4 linked regions of the Drosophila melanogaster genome follow. The protein of the gene in region 1 interacts with the protein of each later gene in a pairwise test. Each region holds a gene or a part of one and is shown on either strand. Other genes may lie near its edges.

Region 1 (4,577 bases):
ATTGCCGCTGCCTGGGATGCTTGCGCAATGGGCGAGCGTTCATTTGCATAGCTCGGATTCTGGCGTGGAATGGGGAAGGGGGAAGGGGGAGGGGATCTGGGGGATATGGGTGCGATTATCTGAACCATCGCTGATCGTTGGTGGTCGCTCTGGGCGAGTGCTCACTGTGCTGTGGTTAGCCGGCGGTTGTTCGCAACAAGTGGAATTCTTGCCGAGTTTTCTGGGGTGCGAACTCATCACTCGCGGGAATCCTTGACTTAAGGTCTTTCAAATATTTGCTACAATCACTCACAATGGCTTAGTAAAATTCTTTAACGTTTGTTAAGAGCAAGAGTGACGAAGAACATTGCTTTTGCATATGAAGATATATTATTGGTAGATATATTATCGTCTCGAACAGTATATATATTCCCAAATTGACTAAAATATAATTGAGAGTTGCACTGGAACATACCTGTCATGGCTCCATTACTGCCGCTGCTGCTGCTGCTGTGCTCTCTGCTGTTTTCTCTGGCCGATGTTGCTGTTGCACTTGCTGTTGCTGCTGATGTTGCTGCGGCTGCAGATGTTGCTGATGTTGCTGTTGTTGTGGCAGCGGGCTTGTGAGTCGTGAGCGGTGGCATTGGTGGAGGAGTTCGCTCCTTTGTGCGTTTTAGGGAGCCCTCCTGGCTGGTATTGCTGGCCATGTTCTTGCACACGGAACTGATATTGCTGATGCTGCTAAAGCTGCTGAGACTGCTGAAGCTGCTGGAGCGTGCCAATGCCGGTGGATCCGATAGGAATTTCACCTGCTGCTGCTGCTGTTGCTGCTGCTGTTGTGGCCGCGACTGTGCTGGCCTGGTGGTCGCCAATCTCTTGGGCGCCGGAGGCTCTGGTTCAGTCTCATCCTCGGGCTCGCCCTCCGCCTTTAGCTCAGCCTCGAGCTCGTTTTCCAAGTCCGGCTGCACGGTGGCTATGATGGTGCCGTCCTCGTTGGCCTGCTCGAAGCAGACGTCCAGCAAGGTGGCTCCGCCACCGGCCTGTAGGCCGGCAATATCCTTGAGATCTATCCAACTGGCGCCCAGCTTATCAGCATCGCTGAGGGGCAAGCTCAGTACTCTCGTGTCGCCCTCGTCCACGATGTGGAAGGATTGCGTGGGCTCGATCTTGACGATGATGGGCTGGTTGGCCAGGATTTGGGCGGGTGGCGCACTGCCCAGCAAACTGGCCATGTTCTCCTCCTCCTCGTCGGCGGCCTCCAGTTCGCTGAGCTGCTGCTCGATCTGCAGGTAGGTATTACTGCTGGAGTTGGCTGCCACACCCGACTGCTGCTTCAGTACGTCCAGTTTGAGGACCGTGCACTTGTCGGTCTGCTGGTACTGGTGCTGCTGCTGGGGTCGTGGCAGCAGTGTCAGGGCGGGAGCACCCGATGTTCCAGAACCTTCCGTTATAAAGGCCAATGGTGGAGACGTGCCCGTGGATTTGGTGGACACACTCCGCGACGACTGGATCAGCTGGGGCAGTGCTGGCGGTGCTCCTCCACTGCCGCCAGTGCCAGAGGCACCGCTACCACTGCGTGCCACAATGGTGGTCGAGACGGGCAGCGGGATTATTGAGATGGAGGGCACCTTGCTGCGCAGATTGGCCACCGCCGCTGCTGTGGCGGCATCGGTGCCGATATACGTTGGACCACCGCTGGAGGATTTGCTGCCGCCGGCGGGCTTGGCCTGCTGTATCAGCAGGAGATCTCTGGGCCTATCCGTTGTGGCGGCCGTTTACTCACAAAGGCTCTCAAATGTCCGGATTTCGCCTTCGCTTAAAACACTAAACACTCACACTTTCACTTGGTTCATTGCTTGAATTTCTTGGGTTCTTTTATGCTTGTATTTGTTACTTGTTATATTTGGTTTTTTTTTTGGGTGTAGAAGCACAACATCGAAATAAATTGAAAATCAGCCTTACGAAAGTGCACTTAAAAAATTGTCGACTAAACAAGTTCATTCATACTGCATTGCCTCGATTGCTTGTCAATTGGTGTAGATACCCCAGAGGGGGTGGCCTAATGAGGGGCTGAGGGTTCGAAAAGGGGGGGGAGTGGGCTTTTAGGGGCGTAGTGGGGTCTGCAGATGCACCTGTGCGTTTCGTTTCGTTCGGTTCGTTTTTGGTTCGTTTTGCAGCTGGAAATACGCGTCGTATACTTAACGTAACTTTGTGCGATGCATAGAGTTCGACATTCCGATTAATGCTTTCCACTTGTGTTGGTTTTTGAGTAAATTTTGGGCTAGTCTTTTCGGTTTTGGGTTGTGTTTAACTTTACTTTACTGCCTAATATGCAGCAATTGTTGCTGTGCTTCGGTGACTGAGCCTGCTTCTGTATCTGTGTCCTCCGCGTTTGCCTGTGGTCGTTGTCATCCTCGTTTTCGTATCCTGCTGCTGCTGCTGTTGTTGCTGCTGTTGCTGTTGCTGCTGCTGCTGCTGCTGATGTTGCTGCTGCTGTTGCTGTTGCTGCTGCACATGCAACGCGTCGCCGCTGGATGGCTGCAAGGCTGCGCTGCAGCATTCGGTAGTGTCAGCGCCATTGGAACCCGACCACGTCAAAACAGTTGGAAGTGTGCCTCTGGATCTGGATGTGGATGTGCCAATGTTGCTGTTGATTTCCCACATCGCGGCACGCAACCCTATGCAACCACCACCCCAAGCACCACCTCCATCCTCACGGCAACAACAACCACCAGCTGTGTGGAAAGTGGCTTTAATAATCGATTTTTCAGCGGCACACTTGCGAATCAATATTTGGCAAACAGGAGCAGCGCTGCAGCTTTCCCTTTTCCTAATCGGATTTCTATCCCTTTAGCTTCGATATTAATTAAGCACTGTGTTCAATTTTGTTTCACTTTTGGCTGGTTTGTGGATTTCACTGTTTCAATATTTGTATTTTCACTTTCAGAGATTTGTGGCTAAATGCACCGCGCGCGTTTTTTTGTGACTCCTTTTTGTCGATTTTGCGAAGCAGCTGACCGGAGCTGCGTCCTTTACAGGAATGTGTCCCAAATTCGAGTGCCACAAACACAGTTCGTTCTGCCGCTGCACAAACTTTCCGTTTCGTGGGGGTTGCGCCTCAGTTTCTGGGAAAAGGAAAATCCGAGTGTGTGTGTGCGTGTGTATCCGCATGCAAGTTGAAAAATGGGACTCGCTGCGAACTGCTGCGAAAATAGGGTTAGTAGGCATAATGCCAAGTGCATAGCCAGGAAAAACTGGAAGCCACAACACGAAGGAAAACGAGCACAGTCGAACGAACGTTTGTTGCGCAGCTTTTCCACCCCTAAAACTCTCAGTGGGGGCGGGGGCGGGCTAAGGGCCAGGAAAATTCCCGTCGTGGTGATAAAGCGTCATGGGAAATTTCTGCACGCTCGAGGTGGAAATTCCAAGGGCGGAAAATTTTGAATGAGTCTTCTGGGCTTGACTTTCGACATTTACTCAACTAACAACTGAAACTGCCATTTATAATATTTGTAAAAATTCATAAAATTAGTTAATAAAAAATCAACTATGATATATATTTTTATATATACATGTTTAAAAAGAAACATATTTGGTAAACAAATATTTTCTTTTGTTATGCATTTAAATAGTGCATAAGATATGTAATTCATGGTTAACCCCTCGTTTATAAACCAAATTTGTAGAACACGGATAAACTATAGATGCAGTAGTAAGTCATTATATATACGAAGTCTTGTCTACTACAAGCTGTGTAAAGATAATATACATGTATTTATAATTATATAGTATGTATATAAAAAGCTTTAAAGTGTCATAAATAGTATGAACATTGGCACATATATATTTTTAAATGAGTCATAAAATGCGCATTTTTAGTGCTCTCAAAACTACAAGAATGCACTAAAATGTTAAGCTCGCTAATTAAAGCTGCCAATGCCAATTTGGGCAAAAACCAATCAAAGAACAGCTATGACCACAATGACCCTCGAGTCAAGAATGCCCAAAAAAAGGGGCGAACCGAGAACATCTCGGCCATTGGCCAACAGACGGGGCAAATTTGAACTAATCGCCCAACTGGGCCCCAGCCCAACCGATCGGATCGAGCCATCATTAGGGCGGGGAGGGGAGTGGGGGAATTGGGTGGCATAGGGCCAAACTTCTTATAGAGGAGGGTCGATGATGGCGAACGGAGCGACCACCGTTAGGACGGATTCGGATTCTGATTCGGAGCCAAGACTCAAGCATCGGCATTAATATTTCATGTTTTTCCGTTGCTTAAATCATGTTAGATTTATTCTGCGCCGCATTCAGCTGCCGCTTGCGCAACAACAATCAAGAGCTAACTGGTAACTGGTAACTGGTTGGTGGTTCTGCCAACCAGCTTACTAGCAGCTTGCAGCTAAACTTGGCTAAAACACCGTTGGTTCTAACGTGAACGCGAAATGTGTGCCTCACCGTTGTAAACTTCTTGCGGCGGCTGTTGCCTCATCATCTATTGCAAGTCTGTGCCGATTCTAACCTGTTTTCTCTGCAGAAACTCTCCGAAAAAGTCCCGTAAGAAAGTCCCAGTTATTCAAGAGGAAAAACCTGTTACA
Region 2 (5,052 bases), on another chromosome or scaffold:
CACACACAATCACACTCGCGGAAAATAATTAGAAAAAAACACACGAGCGAAAACTGTTGCACATAAAAAAAGAGAAGAAAAACACACGAACAATATCCACACAAAGGCAACGCAATTACGCGAATTGTAATGAATTTTTGCAAACGAAAATGTAACTGAAATTAAACGAAATGGAAATGTCAAAAAATAAAACATGATATACTATATGATATTAGAATATTTTGCAAATCTTGTTGCGTCTGCGCAGTATGGCAAAAAATAATAAAAAATAATACTATTTGAAAAACAAAACAGAAACAAAAAAAAAAAAAACACGAAAGAAGCCATTAAAACGGCGCTCAAAAACCCCCCACCAAGTGCAATGGGAATGATATTCGTTTGTATGGACTCATTTCTTATAAATATTTATAATTGCGATAAAGTCGAGAGACAGCGATGGGAATGAGGATAAGGCGCGCTAAGAAGCTAGACAGTGCGTTTCGTCTTGTTAAGGTCTTGTGTTGTGGGTTTTTAATTACATGAAGTGCAGACTTCTCTTAAAAAAAAAAATCCACTTTAATTTTAGAACAAAACACTTATATAAGCTTAATAAATTATATTCGTTTCAAATCGTAGCTATATAAAGGAGATATATTGCTTATAATACTTAAAATAAAATCTAACATAACTTACACTACGTTTATAACATTCTATAGTGCTAACAAAACATGTCATCTATTCAAGTTGAATCTTAAAGTTTTCCAATTTCTTTAGCGTTTTTTTTTTTTTGCCCAATTTCCTGATTAACTAAGCTAAACAAAAAAAAAAAGCGATGATTAGTTGGCGCCTCTGGTGGCGCCGGAAGTTCGAGAATTTTCTTCTTGCCGATTCTATTCGCTGGCGACTTCTAAAACTGACCAAGCATTTAGTTAACTTACTTTTCTTTTTGCCAATTTATTGATTGGCTTACTATTTATTTCTTTATTTTTTTTTTTTTGTCTCTTTTTGCTTTGTCGATATATGCATTTTATTTTTTGCCAGTTGTTGTGGCCCAGAAAAGTGCATTTCCATTTTACATATTTGATAACATTCAGCAAATTTTTCCAAAAGCGCATCCGGTTCAAACGGGAAGTGCTACAGTCGTCGCCAAAAGAGCGGTTGATAAAAAAAAAATATATATATATATATATATATATATATATATGGAAAGGGTAACAAAACTGATTCGTGAATAGAGTTATGTATACGTCTGGGTGTTTTATTGCCATTTTTTATATCAACTAACTTATGTTTATCTTCACACTTAACTATAGGCATTACGATTAAGTTCTTTATAATCAGCAATAACTGAAGTCTGTCTGAATAATAATATACAAATATTATATATATATAATCAAAAATATTATATCTAGCATACATTTATAGTAGCAATGACCCTAAAGTGTATTTCTTATCAAAGTTAAATTGTTTAGCACCTTATTTTAGTTAAGTCACCAATGGCTAGTAATTTTGCAAATATTTTATTTAATTAACGCCGTTTTTTTTTTGCAATTCAAAGTTATAGTTTATTCAAGGCTTCTATGGACAAAATTAATCGCAAACAAGTTTTTGTCCAACACTTTCCATTCCTCTCACTTCACACTTTTGCTATTAATCCATTTATGGCCAAAATTCATCCAAACCTAACACTTTTCTTATCGAGTAGCACTTCGTGTTCGATTTTTGACCCACGCAAACACTTGATAAAATAATATCGCAAACGAAGTGCCAAATAAATGATTCGATGATTTGAAAAATTGTTTGAAAAGTAAAAAAAAACTCACCATAAACGCCAAACACCGCAGTTTCAAAACTTTGTTCTCGTTCTTCTTCTTGTTGTTGGTGTTGTTGTTGATGCCTTTGCCGCAGTTGTTGGTTTTGTTGTTGTTGATGTTTTGGGTGAATTTCTTGTGGTTGTTGTTGTTGTTGATGTTGTTGTTGCACTTGCTGTTTGCATTGAATTAAATTTGACTTGATTTTTGTTTATTTCCACTTTTCTGTTTTCTGCGGTTCGCACAAATTTTTCACTTGGAAAAAATTGTTGTAATTTTGTTGAAATCAAAGAATTAAGGTGCAAAATAGGTTTAATTTCCTTTAACACAACCTTAGAGCATGTTTTTTGTTTAAATTGTTTGCGTTTTTCTATTTGAAATGAAATTGTAGTTTTTGAGATGGGGAAAAAAACACAAAATAATTGCGGGATATTTTTCGGTATTTACTTTAGGCTGTTTAGATTTCGAAAAATGCTCCAAGTCCAAAAAAGTTGTTGTAAGTTTTTCTAAAGTTTTTAGCTTGTTGTCGCTTTTGTTGTTGTTGTTGTTGTTGTTGTTGTTGTTCACACACACACACGTGCAAAGCCGCCTTGAGTTGTTGTTTCATTTGGTTGTTGTGGTTGTTGTTGATGTTGTTGTTCTTGCGGTTGTTGTTGCTGCTGCAGTTGTTGCCCCTGTTGTAGATGTAGTTGTTGTGGTTGTTGCATTGTTGAAATACAAAAAAATTACGCTTAAGGATTTTCTTGCTTCTTTTGTGTGGTTGTTGTTGTTGTTGACTTTGTTAAAAACTTTCGCTGTTACTTCATTTATTTGTAATTTTTTATTTTATAATAATATATTTATAAAACATTTTTGTTGTGTTTAAGTTTATGCCTGGGAAAAAGTATACAAAAACTAGTGTTAGAAACCGACGCAGAGCACTTGAAAAAAATTCAAAAAAAAATTAATTTCATGAATGAAGGACAGAAATGAATGCAAAAGGACCTATTACTCGAAATTCGTGTTTCCAAAAACCGCGCACAAAAATAAAGAAGAAAAAAAAAATAAACGATAAAGAATCCAAAATATTTTCCGTACAAATATTCGTAAAATATTTGAATATTTTGTCGCTTGGCAAAATGTAATTTATTTGCTGTTTGCGGCTAAGGCTAACGAAAATAAACACGAACGAACGTATGAAAGTGTCTGCAAGAACTGCAATCGCATCGCGTGTGAAATCTCTGCGAAAGTCCAAAGCCGACAGAGCTGCAAAACCAAAAAGCCTGGCCAAAAGCCCAAAACCCAAAGAGCATTGGCGTTGGCAGCGCGGCGGCAGCGCTGCGACTGCGACTGCGTTGCTTCGTATTGCCGAGTGATTCCCGTTCGCCTATGTGTGGGTGCCCCTGCACATCGTAGTCCATACGTATGTGTGTGTGTGTGTGTGTGTGTGTGTGAGTGGTGTGTGCTTGTACTAAGAGCGCCGCACGCGCTTCGTAAAAGAGCAGCGTCGGTGAAAAACGCAGCAAAGCTGAGCCAAAATGCACCTCGTTTCCCACCGCGAGTCACTTTTTCTCTTTCACTCAATCGCAGAAAGTGCACGGTGCGGCGCTCTCTCTTTTCGCTCGCTCGCTCTCTCTCTCTCTTCGCAGTGGACAACGCAGCGTATGCGTAATCTGTACGAGTGCAGCAACATATCATTCAGAAAATAAAACCCACAAACACTCACACAACCGTCTGCCATATGTTTCCCGAAAGTTTTTGGGGTTCAAATAAAAGGACAAAGAAAGGTCCAACAAATTAATACGCAGGACAAGAACTCTAGTTGAATGTGCATTATTTTTAATAATGCCATATATGCCCTCAAATCACTCAAATAAAATTGAAACTATCATTTTTATCAATCTTAAAACGGAATGCAATCTGATCGATTTTAATGGTTTGCAAGAAAAATATTAAAAACTGATAAATTCAACAAAACAAAAAAAACAAGGTTCGAAACTATTCTTTTAAATTTTTTATTAAATTCAATAAATTTGCTTTAATAAATCTAACAAGTTTTAATACATTTTCCAACAAAAATGATGAACTTATCATTTTTAAATAATTATGTTTATTCACTGGTTTAAAAAAAAGTGCGATTTTATGTGCATGCCACAAAATTAGTAGTAAAGCACATGAATAAGGCTAAATGAAAAATGTGGCAATTCGTTTTAATTCATTTTCATACAAAATTTAAAATCGAAAATTGTAATCTTTAATTACAATTACTTTCACACTAAAACCTTAAAAGTTTTAGTTGAGTATAATACAAATACATTTAAAATTGAAGTATGGAAATATTTAAACTTTAAATAATACAATGCAATTGCCAAATTGACATAAAAAAGAAACAGTAAAAAAATCATTGAAATATCATTTAATATTTAGAGTTCTAATATGCACTAAAAATTCCGCTCAGAATATTTTCAACAGAGCTCTGCGATATTCCGTCGGCAATTTCTAATCTGATGTCTAAGCTGCAGTTTTTTTTTTTTTTTTTTTTTTTGGGTTTTTTTTTTGGCACTTGTTAATCAATTCACAAATTCAGGACAAGTGACAATTTAAGAAAACACATTACAATATTAGTTACATATTATTTTTTGAGGGCCTGTTGCAATAAATAGCCACTACCTAGCTACTAAAAATTTGCCTAAAATATTTATACACTTAATTCGGAATTGACATTCTTTATAACTGCAACTAACTTCTTAAAAACATAGTTTCAATCCTTCAAAACACTGGATATTTGAATCTTTCCTTTCGTGGTTTCGAAATGTTATTATTAGAACTTGTCAACACTTGTAAATAAGAATGAGTAAGCACACAAATTCAAACATAAAATGGTGTACAAATGAAACATGAAACATTATGCATTTTCGAAATGATAAACAATATCCTTTGAATGACTTTAGTTGTCCTTGGAAAACGCAACATCACTAGTTTCCCTCTTAAGACTTTTAACTTGGCTATGCATGATTAAAATCCTTAGAAAAACACATGACCTTTTGGGGCACTTAAGTGATCCTCAACAAACACAAAATACGAAAATTCTGTAATTTTTTGTATATTATATATATGTGGTCCTTCCGGTTTTTCTAGCACTTTGTCATAAACACTTTTTGAGAAACAGCACAATTTGCTAAAATCAAAAATAGTTGCTGCTGCTTTCACTTGCAATATTTTATATTCAAAAAAAAAAAAATTCTTAAAAACACTTGAAAAAAATAATGAAGTTACGCGGCGC
Region 3 (6,509 bases), on another chromosome or scaffold:
GGCAGTGCTACAGATGTCTTCAGTGCAAACGTTACTTCAAATCCACCAGCTATCTTTTGGTACATCGAAAAAAAGAGCAGAGCTGTGCCAAGGCGAAAGTGGTCGCCGTATTTAGCAGACACAACGGGTTGCCCAATGGAATAAGTGATCACAGACGTTGCTCAGTTTGTTTGAAGCGTTTCAGCAGCGAGCGGGTATGCCTGCGGCACCGGAGACAGTGCATCCTCGGCCATTATAGACGGCTGTCCAAGGCCCTCGAGAAGGAGCTATGAACAGCGTATACAAATCTTGACCTAGCTGGTATTTATTAGTATATAGAAATCGATAACAATAAAGCGAATAGATCCTTCGAAAAAATTCCGCCACATACCCCAAATTTAAATACATATCCATATACATACATATTCACATAGGATCGAGAATGTAATGAGCCACAATTAAGTCCATAACTATTGCTGAAGAAATTTATGTGTGCCCTCATTGATATTAAAACAGTTTTCTGTTAATCATTTTAGTATTTTTTTATATTCAATGTTTCGTCAAGTTTTTTGTTTGCTTTTGTCTTTGGTTTTCTTGATTTTTATTCTAGAATTATGTTTTTTTGCTGATTTTTTTCATTATTTTAAACTTAAATGAAGCATAGATTATTTATATAAATATTTACAATGCTCTTTGCGATTATTAGGGAGTTGTTGCCGCTGCTTTTTTACTCTTGTTTTGCTTGCCGTCCTTATCTGCGTCCATTTTTGTTTCTTTCTATCGCGATATTTTCCATTTTTTATACTTATACTCTAAAAACTAATTTCGGGTTACTTTTCATTCATTTTGTTTTGCGTAGACTTAAGAAAAAAATGTTTTTCGCTTTTGGATGAATCTTCACTCCCCGCTCAAACTCTTCTGTTCCTCTTCTGATCTTTCTCTTTAAGGTTTTTTTTGTCTGGCTGTAGGCAGATTTCATATCGGTTTATTATATATTATTGAAACATTTAGCTTGGTAGTTCATGTTTTTTTTTTGCAGCTTTTATATACATATCTACATTTATATGTCGCAGATCATTTAAATGTAACGACATTTCTAGTAATTGCGTGTTTCTGCTTGGCGCGCCATGCAGGCGTCTTTTCTGTTCTTTTGATGCGCGACAGAGAACCGTTAACGTAGTCTGGTCGATGGTAGGAGCGGGAGGAAGTAGATGCCTGCAGGAATAACGGAAGCGTACAGAAAAATGCGGTTAAATGCATTAGTGTTTATGTATGTGGACTGGAGTGAGTCTCCAAAATGTGTTGGTAATGCGTGTAGAGTTAAGAACTACGTATAATTCTGATTTTGTGAAAAGAGATTGGGTCAGTCAGTGATCGATCATTGCGAAGAACAGACATGTCTCGCTTACGCGCCAGAAAACGTTGCGCAGACAACGAGAATAGTGAAGAGGAAGAAGGGCGTCCTGATGACTCTTCGACATATATGTATATATTTCTAATAATACGCCTTGGATGTTAATATTTCATCCCCCCGTTTGCCAACCAACCAGCCAACTGGGGGCCGCAAGGTAAATTTGTGAATGGTTAATGAAAAGTTACCCAAACTGCACGCCCATTCGAACTGAGCCGAAACTTCTTGGACTGTCGATTCATTACATTAAATGCGGGGGGTGGTGAGGAGTGCAGGTGCGCAGGTGATGGGCAAATGTCATAAATTATTTGCCTCCCCCTCCCGAGCGGGGTGGTTTTATATGTAAATTTATATAGGATATTTACACGCAACATTCGCGGCTGCGGCATCAAATATTTACACTGATTTCGGGTATTCGAAGACAACAAAAGAAATGAATAACAAAAAACAGGTGGGGAGCAGTGGGGGCGAAAGGCCAAATTGATGAACCTTGAAAAATGTGTTAAAACTTATTGTTTTCTTCGTCAGCGATTCTTGACGAATTGATATTTTCGAACTCAGCGTGGTAAAAATGGAATTTTGAAAAATTTTAACGTTCTGCGAAAAGTAGGTAATGATTAACTAGTTTTGAATACTTCTGAATGATTAACTAATACGGAATGAGCCGTATTAAGCACTTATCATCATAAAACTAAGAATTTGGTATACTCAACAATTGCCACTAAACAATCCAAAAGCCAAAATTAATGGGTCGCTATCCGTATAAGCTGATAATACCAGGGAATACCAGTTTGGCATAAACAACTTGTTGAACAACCCGCAAATAGTTTGGTTAACAACATTTTTGTTTTTCACCTTATGCGAGCGAAGGCAAGGTAAATGCAATTTTCTAGCCCATAAATTTGTTTGAGCTGCTAATTTTTTTGCACTTTCATTGTGGCCGCTATCGTTTGTTTGCCGGTGTGTGGCACTTTGTTTAAGTTTGGTTACCAACCAAGGAACGAAAACATGGTAAGAAGAAATACCCAGCGAACGAGGAAATCAAATGGCCAACGGGAATAGCCAAAACGAAATGCTTGAGATTTGTTTAATTGCATCCTGGCTGGCGTTTTTTGCCATCAACAAAAATAACAGGATGGCTAGCACTCCACAAAATGGCGTCCATCCGAATGGGCGGTGGGCGGTGGGCGGTGGTGGTTGATTCAGTGGGTGGTTCGATGGGGGACAGTACTTACGATATCCATTGGTATATGCCCGACACAGTCAGCTCACCCTTATCCTCGAGGGCGTATTCGATGAGCTCCGTGTAGGTGAACGGTGGTTTCTTTGGCCTGCTTGTTTTGCGGTGGTTGGTTTTGGATTTCAGCCACATTGGTGGGTGGTTCGGTGGTTTAGTGGATCGGCGATTGCGTGGTTGGGGAAATTCGTTGGCGGCATCGATTGGAGGACGGCATTGAAAGCAAATGGAGAACGCACAAATCAGAGAGAAAGATTGTTAAATATATTAAAAGAAAAGAGAGAATGCTATAGTCGAGTTACCCGACTATCAGATACCCGTTACTCAGCTAGTGTGAATGCGAACGCGAAATTTAATCATCTTTCTGGGATGTCGATAGATATTGGGGAATAAAATGAGAAAAAAATTTAAAAATTGATCCTGATCAACAAATTTTATATATACTTCAACGAATCTAGTATACCCTTTTCCTCTATGAGTAACGGGAATAAATAGATGTTTCAAATAAATTAGGAAATATAGAATTTAACCGTTGACACTGTCATATTGTTTTATTTCTGCAACACTTACGCCTTGGACGAAGTATCCTCGACGACAACGTGCTCGGCAACTATCATGTCGTTACCGTCCAACTCCGAGGTGACCTCCATCACCAGCTCCTCGAACTTGCGCCCAGTCTTGGTGGAGCCCACGCCGGCCACGCCCCCCGCTGCTGAAGCGCCAGCGGAGCCGTTGCCTCCTCCTCCTAATGCCGCTGGCATCGCTGCACTGGAGCAACTCTTGGGCGATCTGGCCCGTTGATCCACCAAACCCGATCCGAGAGATTGATTTGTGCTTATGGCGGATGCGGATGCCGATGCGGCGGAGGCGGATGATGGCGAGGAGGAACTGCAGGGCGACGTGGCGATCGGCACTGCCGTCGATGGTGGATGAGGTGGAGCACTGCCCTCCGGCAGATTGACCGCCTGTCCGTGAATCTGATTGTGCGGCGATAGGTGCGGGAACTCGTCGAACTTAAAGTTGAGCAGCCACGAGAGGTTCTTATCCTCGAAGTCCGCCTCGGTGGCTTCATTGGCCCCACTAACCGAACCGGATGAGGTGCGTCGGCCCGCCGACTGTATCCGCTGCTTCTGCGGCACCAGAAAATGTTGATTCTGATGTGGGTTCTGACCAGGAATGACATTCTGTTGTGTTGACTGCTGCGTATGATTGGATGCATTTTGAGCTGATGATGATGTTGGTGGTGGCGGCGGCAAAGTGGCATTCAATTGCCCCAGTTCCGCCTGCAGGCCGGAGTTATAACGATGATCCAGCTCCAGCAGCTCGCCACCGGTCCAACCACCATTGTCATCCAATGGAGCACTCGATGGTGGACAGTGCGAATAGGCGACGGCGGGCACCAGAAGACTGCTCTCATAGGAAAAGAGATCGTTGATGAAGGACGTCGAGGATTGGGCGGGTGCAGCGTTGGTTGGCGGATTACTAGGTGGCTGTTCCAGCTGCAGGTGGAAGTGCAGGTCCCCGGCATCGTAGTCCAAGTGTCGCTTCTTCCAGGGATTTGCCCCGATGGGCTCGTAGTCGTGGCCCAAAGCCAAATCCTCCTGATCGTCGAACTTGCGCTTAAGAAAGTTGTAATCACCGGGAAGATTAGTGTTCGTATCATTTTGATTGGTGGTACTGCTATTGTTGTTGTTGTTGCTGCTGGGATTCGATGTTGGGCTGGATGCACTGCCCGTTCCATTGACGGGCATGTTGACAATCATGATGTCCCGGCTGTCTCGATTTCAATCACGTTAGCCAAGCCAAAACACACAACTCACACTTGGCGAAAAAGAGCAAGTAACACGAAAAAAAAATTGACCTGCTTCGTCTGGGGGACGGACGAAGGATATTTCTTTCTTTATTTCTCAATCTTTAGTTTAGTCAAGAGCGGAAATTGGGAATTAGTCGGTCCGCACTGGCTAACTGGCTAACCGTCTCGCGCTGCGACTGGCCACGGAATGCGATGGGCCGCCAGGAGTCCAGACCAACTTGGCTGTTGGGCTGAGCTGCGCCTGCGCCCTCCTGCCACTCATCCACATTCACATCCACCACCCCGGACACCCAGTCATGCACATAAGCGGTACGTCTGCAGTCGATGGAAAGAGGAGCCGTACCTGTGATGGCGCAGGTACAATAAAATAATGCAGACACTTCACTGTATTATATTTGACATATTCGTTGATATATGTTTCAACCATATCACCTGCTTATAAATATATATTTATAATTTATATATAAATATGAAAAATATCAAAGCAAAGAAAGCTGTCATAGCTTCTAAATAATCAGTCGTGTACGCTGTACCAAGCTGAGTTTAAAAAGCAATCAAGTACCTCTAGGTACAACCACCCAGGTCTTGGCATCGCTGAGCCCAGGTCATGTGCCGCTGGTTCTGCTTGGTCGCTCGATTTGGCCATAATCGAACATGTGCGCCAAGCTGTCCGTTAGCCAATTTCGCGCTGACATGGGGCGGGGTGCGGTAGATAGGTTCTGGATCCAGGGTGCAGGGTGCAGCCATTGAAGCGTCTAATCGACGCTTTCATACACCATGCGTACCCAATGTCCTTCATACAAAGTGAGCAACCCACACAGGTGATGCGCCGGATAGTTTAAGGGACTACGGCTCCATCTGTCCAACCCGCTCGAAAAAAAAGCAAAAGTATCTCCCCTTTTACCCGTTTACCAAAAAATATGGACATTAGCAATTCGGGTTCTTGTTGATTCGTTTATTTATTTCCATTGATCACTGGTTGAATGAGTGTGTGAATGAGTGTGTGAATGAATGGGCGATTGCTTTCATGTTGGGGGGCTAAATGCATTTGCTTACAATATGATTTAAATCCTACTCAGTACAATTTTGTTTGACCAAATGATGCGATTAGTTTTATCCGTTTCTTCGTTCTCGGTAATTTAGGCTAATATTATTGAACATATATATATTTTTTATTTTCTTTTGGTTGTTTCTCGAGCTTTAGTTCAACTAGATCGATCGGCACCCTTGAATCTGACTTGACGTCTAAACATTTATGTTTTGTTCGTCACAGGACAATCTTTTGATTTACCTGTGAACTGCAAATGTGATAAGTTTTTAAGCATATTCTAGCTCCTTTGTATAGTTTCATTTGCCACTTTAATGGCCGCAAGTATGCTTTTCAATAATATGTGAAGAAGCGTCTCCAGCATCTCCAACATCTCTTTCTTCTCGATTTAAATAAATGTTGCTTATTCTTCTGACTGCTTGTAGTATTTTGAATATTTGAATTTTCTCCATTGTCGCCCGTTCTTTTACGTGTTGGTTAAGTTAAAGCTTAGGAAATGTTTGTTTTTTCTCAGCTGCAAAAATGTGTAAGGCAGCCGCTTTCCCTTTTGTTTTTCGTGTAGTCCATCTTCTTCACCGCACTCTGTTGCTTTCTCTTTCTTTGTTGTTTTGTAATCTCGCTCGATTTCGTGTAATTGGTTGTTAACTTCTTTTTATCGACGCATGTTTCAGTCTTACTACTGCCCCATTTCTAAACCTTAGTCCAAACCGTCATCGACGAAGTCGGCGGAGTCCTTTTTAGGCTTAGGCTCGCTCGGCTTTCCAGCCTTTTCACCCGCTTGGCCAAAGGCAGCACCCACATCTCCACCGGGCACAATCTTCTTGATAAGGTTGTATATCTTCGGGTTCGACGCGTACTTTGTGATGTTACCCGGATTTGACAAAATGTCCTACGAAAGTTAATAAATAACAACGATATGATTACTGCATTTGTATTAGAAATAGAAAAGTAGTATTCACGAACCTGAATGGCGGCTGACACCTCGGGATCTGACATGGCGCCCAGTATATCAGACATATTT
Region 4 (2,628 bases), 9.5 Mb from region 1:
CCTACTCTGTTAAACTATGGGATTTTTTCAGCCTGTTCACTTCGATATCAATACCACGGTTTTCCGTCTGAATTATCACAGTGCGTATGAGTAATAAGGTTTGGGCTTTAGATAAACGTTTGGCAAAGAAGCATTGCGAGTCAGAAATTATGTTAAATGAGCAGACTACTAACTTTGGAAAAAGGCACTCGCATTCGTTGTCCGACTCCCGCCCACATAATGTCCCACTTTGGGGACCCTCGTCAAAATATTTGGGGCGAGAGCTCCGACGCTGCGGTTGCAATTCAAGAGCCAAGAGTCATAAAATCCTTTATCAAATGAGAGCAGCATGGGCCTGGAACCGGAGTTGGCAGCACTCTTGACACATTTTCCGCTTTTATTGGCAAATTGAGAAACATATAAATAATAACTCGGAATGTGAACTAACTTTGAAATGATGTGGTGAGCATTTCCAGCAGCCAAAAAGGATTGTCCCCCTGCTCGCGCATCATAAAACTACAAATTTTTGTGGGATGTTATTAAATTTGGCTTTTTATTATATTGTGGTACTTTCGCATTGGGATTTATGTAAGACAATATGTTACCAAGCGTGTTCCCTTCGCCACAAAAAAAATGGCAACCACAGTGTGAGCCCTACACAGAGTTATTTATAACGAATCGTAAAATTTTATTGCACGAAAAAACTGTGTGAATTGTTTGCGGCCTCCATAGACATAGAAAGTTAATTTAACGTAACGAATTAGGGGTTCTGAGGTCCTTTGCCTGCGGGCACCTTCGTCTTTCACATGATGGTGCAGCAGCAACAGCATTCGCCACACTGACAGCAACAGGGGCAGCAAGGACAACAACAGCAACTGTTATCCTTGGGAGGAGGCGGCGGCGGAGGAGGTTGCACGATCACCGTGGTCGAGGGTTGGGGTGGCACTTGCACCACCTCCACAACGCGAGTTCTGTGGTCCATTTCGATTGGTTGTAATCCGGTTGTTTTCAATTATAAAATGTACTTGTTGCACCGCACGCGTTTAGTTCGGCACTGGTCATATTGTTGGGATTGTGCTATTATAGCCGCGCTCTCGGCAATCTCTGCTATGGGTGTTATCTATAGATAAAAGCAACTGGAACTCTTATCAGTGGCCAGCGATTTGTGTGAAGTACCTAGCGATTCGTTGGGGTCCCACCTTGGTTGTCTAACCAGCTTTATGATAGAAAACTACAAAATCGATAGGTTATTTATTACATGATTTTATTTATGAATTCGCTGCATTCAAGCGTTGTTGTTCAAATAAACAAAGGCCTTTCTTGTAACTTACAAGTTATGCAAAATCTGATAATATACTGATAATTTTTATCGGGTTTGCTGTATACTGTATTATCTGATGTTTATTTTTCTTGCAATTCAACAAACAACGTCATCATCATTTTCCAAGCCCTAAGATGTCTATATATTTGGTTATATTTTTATATTTTTTATCTTATACTCTATTCTTTGTTATTTACTTTTACTTGGAGTCAGATTAGCACTTTAATTAAACTCGTGTTCGGCACTCTCATTCCCCTATGACTTTATCAAATGAATGACTCACATTACACAAACTATCGGGGGAAACTTGAAACACACAAATGTCGCATAATGCCAAATGGGGCAGCTAATTATATATGCCACCTTATCTGAGCACTCAAAACTATATCCGACGACGCATTTTGCATTCAAAACCAACCATTCGAGTGGCCCCATCAGCATCAGCGGCCACATCAATTTCGGGCGAATAGTTCCTCGTTGCTATCAAATAGCGGAGATCTCAATTAAAATTTTCACCCAACACCGCAGATGGGGTATGTGTAAGGTGGTTGGTTGGCTTTTAGAGCGGCGTTACCTTGCTGAAATTAATAAAAATATATATTTTTGAGCGCCCTTCGTGCAATGGCGATGATAATTAGTGTACGTGATTCTATTTACTTCGACTGGGTCCCCAAACCTCGATGGATCCCCGTAGCATCCCCAGTTGGGAAAGGGGTTGGTTGGTTGGCTGGTCGGTTGGTCGGAGGGTCCTTTAAGGCAAGGGAATGTCCCTGTGTGTTTGGAGGGTGTAATATGATATGCGCGTAAAAAATATAGTACGTGTGTGCGTGACAATGGCAACAACGTGCGGCAGATCCCTAAAAAAGGAACGGATGGGGAACATCGGTTTTGGGGGACCGGCGACGAATGCCGGGTGTCAAAAATGAAACTACGCCTGCTCGGAATTTTAAAATAAGCAAATGAGTTTTAGCTTGATGAAAGCCAGCAACAACAGTAAGCAACAGCAGCACCCCATAAATATTTATAAACTTTCCCCTGTCATATAAATACAGGGTCATTAGTTGGCTTGCGCACCTTACGCCGGAGGTTCCATTCCCTCCTCGAGGATAATAAAAACGAACTAGGCGGCAATTTAAATTCCTCTACTAATAGAGTCGTTACTTTCCTCCGACTCCAAGAACATAACTAAAGGGTTAATGGGGTTCACGCAGATTTATTATTGGGAGGGTTGTTTAAAACCGGAAAGGGGAAGTGGGAGCACTGTTGTTTTAACCAGTGTAAAGCAACAGTTAAGAACTGCAGTAAAGGCAAAGAATCCATTAAAAATA

What was found.
Region 2: the proteins of Hr3 (region 1) and mamo interact in a two-hybrid assay, tested with the Drosophila melanogaster proteins (one large-scale study listed by BioGRID).
Region 3: the proteins of Hr3 (region 1) and Crg-1 interact in a two-hybrid assay, tested with the Drosophila melanogaster proteins (one large-scale study listed by BioGRID).
Region 4: the proteins of Hr3 (region 1) and CG34198 interact in a two-hybrid assay, tested with the Drosophila melanogaster proteins (one large-scale study listed by BioGRID).

The regions. Positions count from the first base shown.
Region 1 is NT_033778.4:10,231,570-10,236,146, forward strand, and holds the start of Hr3 (hormone receptor 3), read right to left. Parts: upstream 3,039-4,577; 5' UTR 2,644-3,038; coding exon of another isoform or gene 2,305-2,643; 5' UTR 1,743-2,304; coding exon of another isoform or gene 1,212-1,742; coding exon 455-1,211; intron 1-454. Other genes in the region: CG12912 (uncharacterized protein), read right to left, coding at 2,305-2,643. UniProt on the Drosophila melanogaster protein: Putative receptor whose ligand is not yet known.
Region 2 is NC_004354.4:13,983,412-13,988,463, forward strand, and holds the start of mamo (maternal gene required for meiosis), read right to left. Parts: upstream 3,032-5,052; 5' UTR 2,960-3,031; intron 2,664-2,959; 5' UTR 1,803-2,663; intron 1-1,802.
Region 3 is NC_004354.4:3,791,345-3,797,853, reverse strand, and holds Crg-1 (circadianly regulated gene), read right to left. Parts: upstream 4,632-6,509; 5' UTR 4,448-4,631; intron 4,391-4,447; exon of another isoform or gene 3,194-4,390; intron 2,992-3,193; 5' UTR 2,763-2,991; coding exon 2,626-2,762; intron 1,195-2,625; coding exon 987-1,194; 3' UTR 515-986; downstream 1-514. Other genes in the region: HIP-R (Hsc/Hsp70-interacting protein related), read right to left, coding at 6,186-6,377, 6,452-6,509.
Region 4 is NT_033778.4:19,681,939-19,684,566, forward strand, and holds CG34198 (uncharacterized protein), read right to left. Parts: upstream 1,040-2,628; 5' UTR 962-1,039; coding exon 782-961; 3' UTR 508-781; downstream 1-507.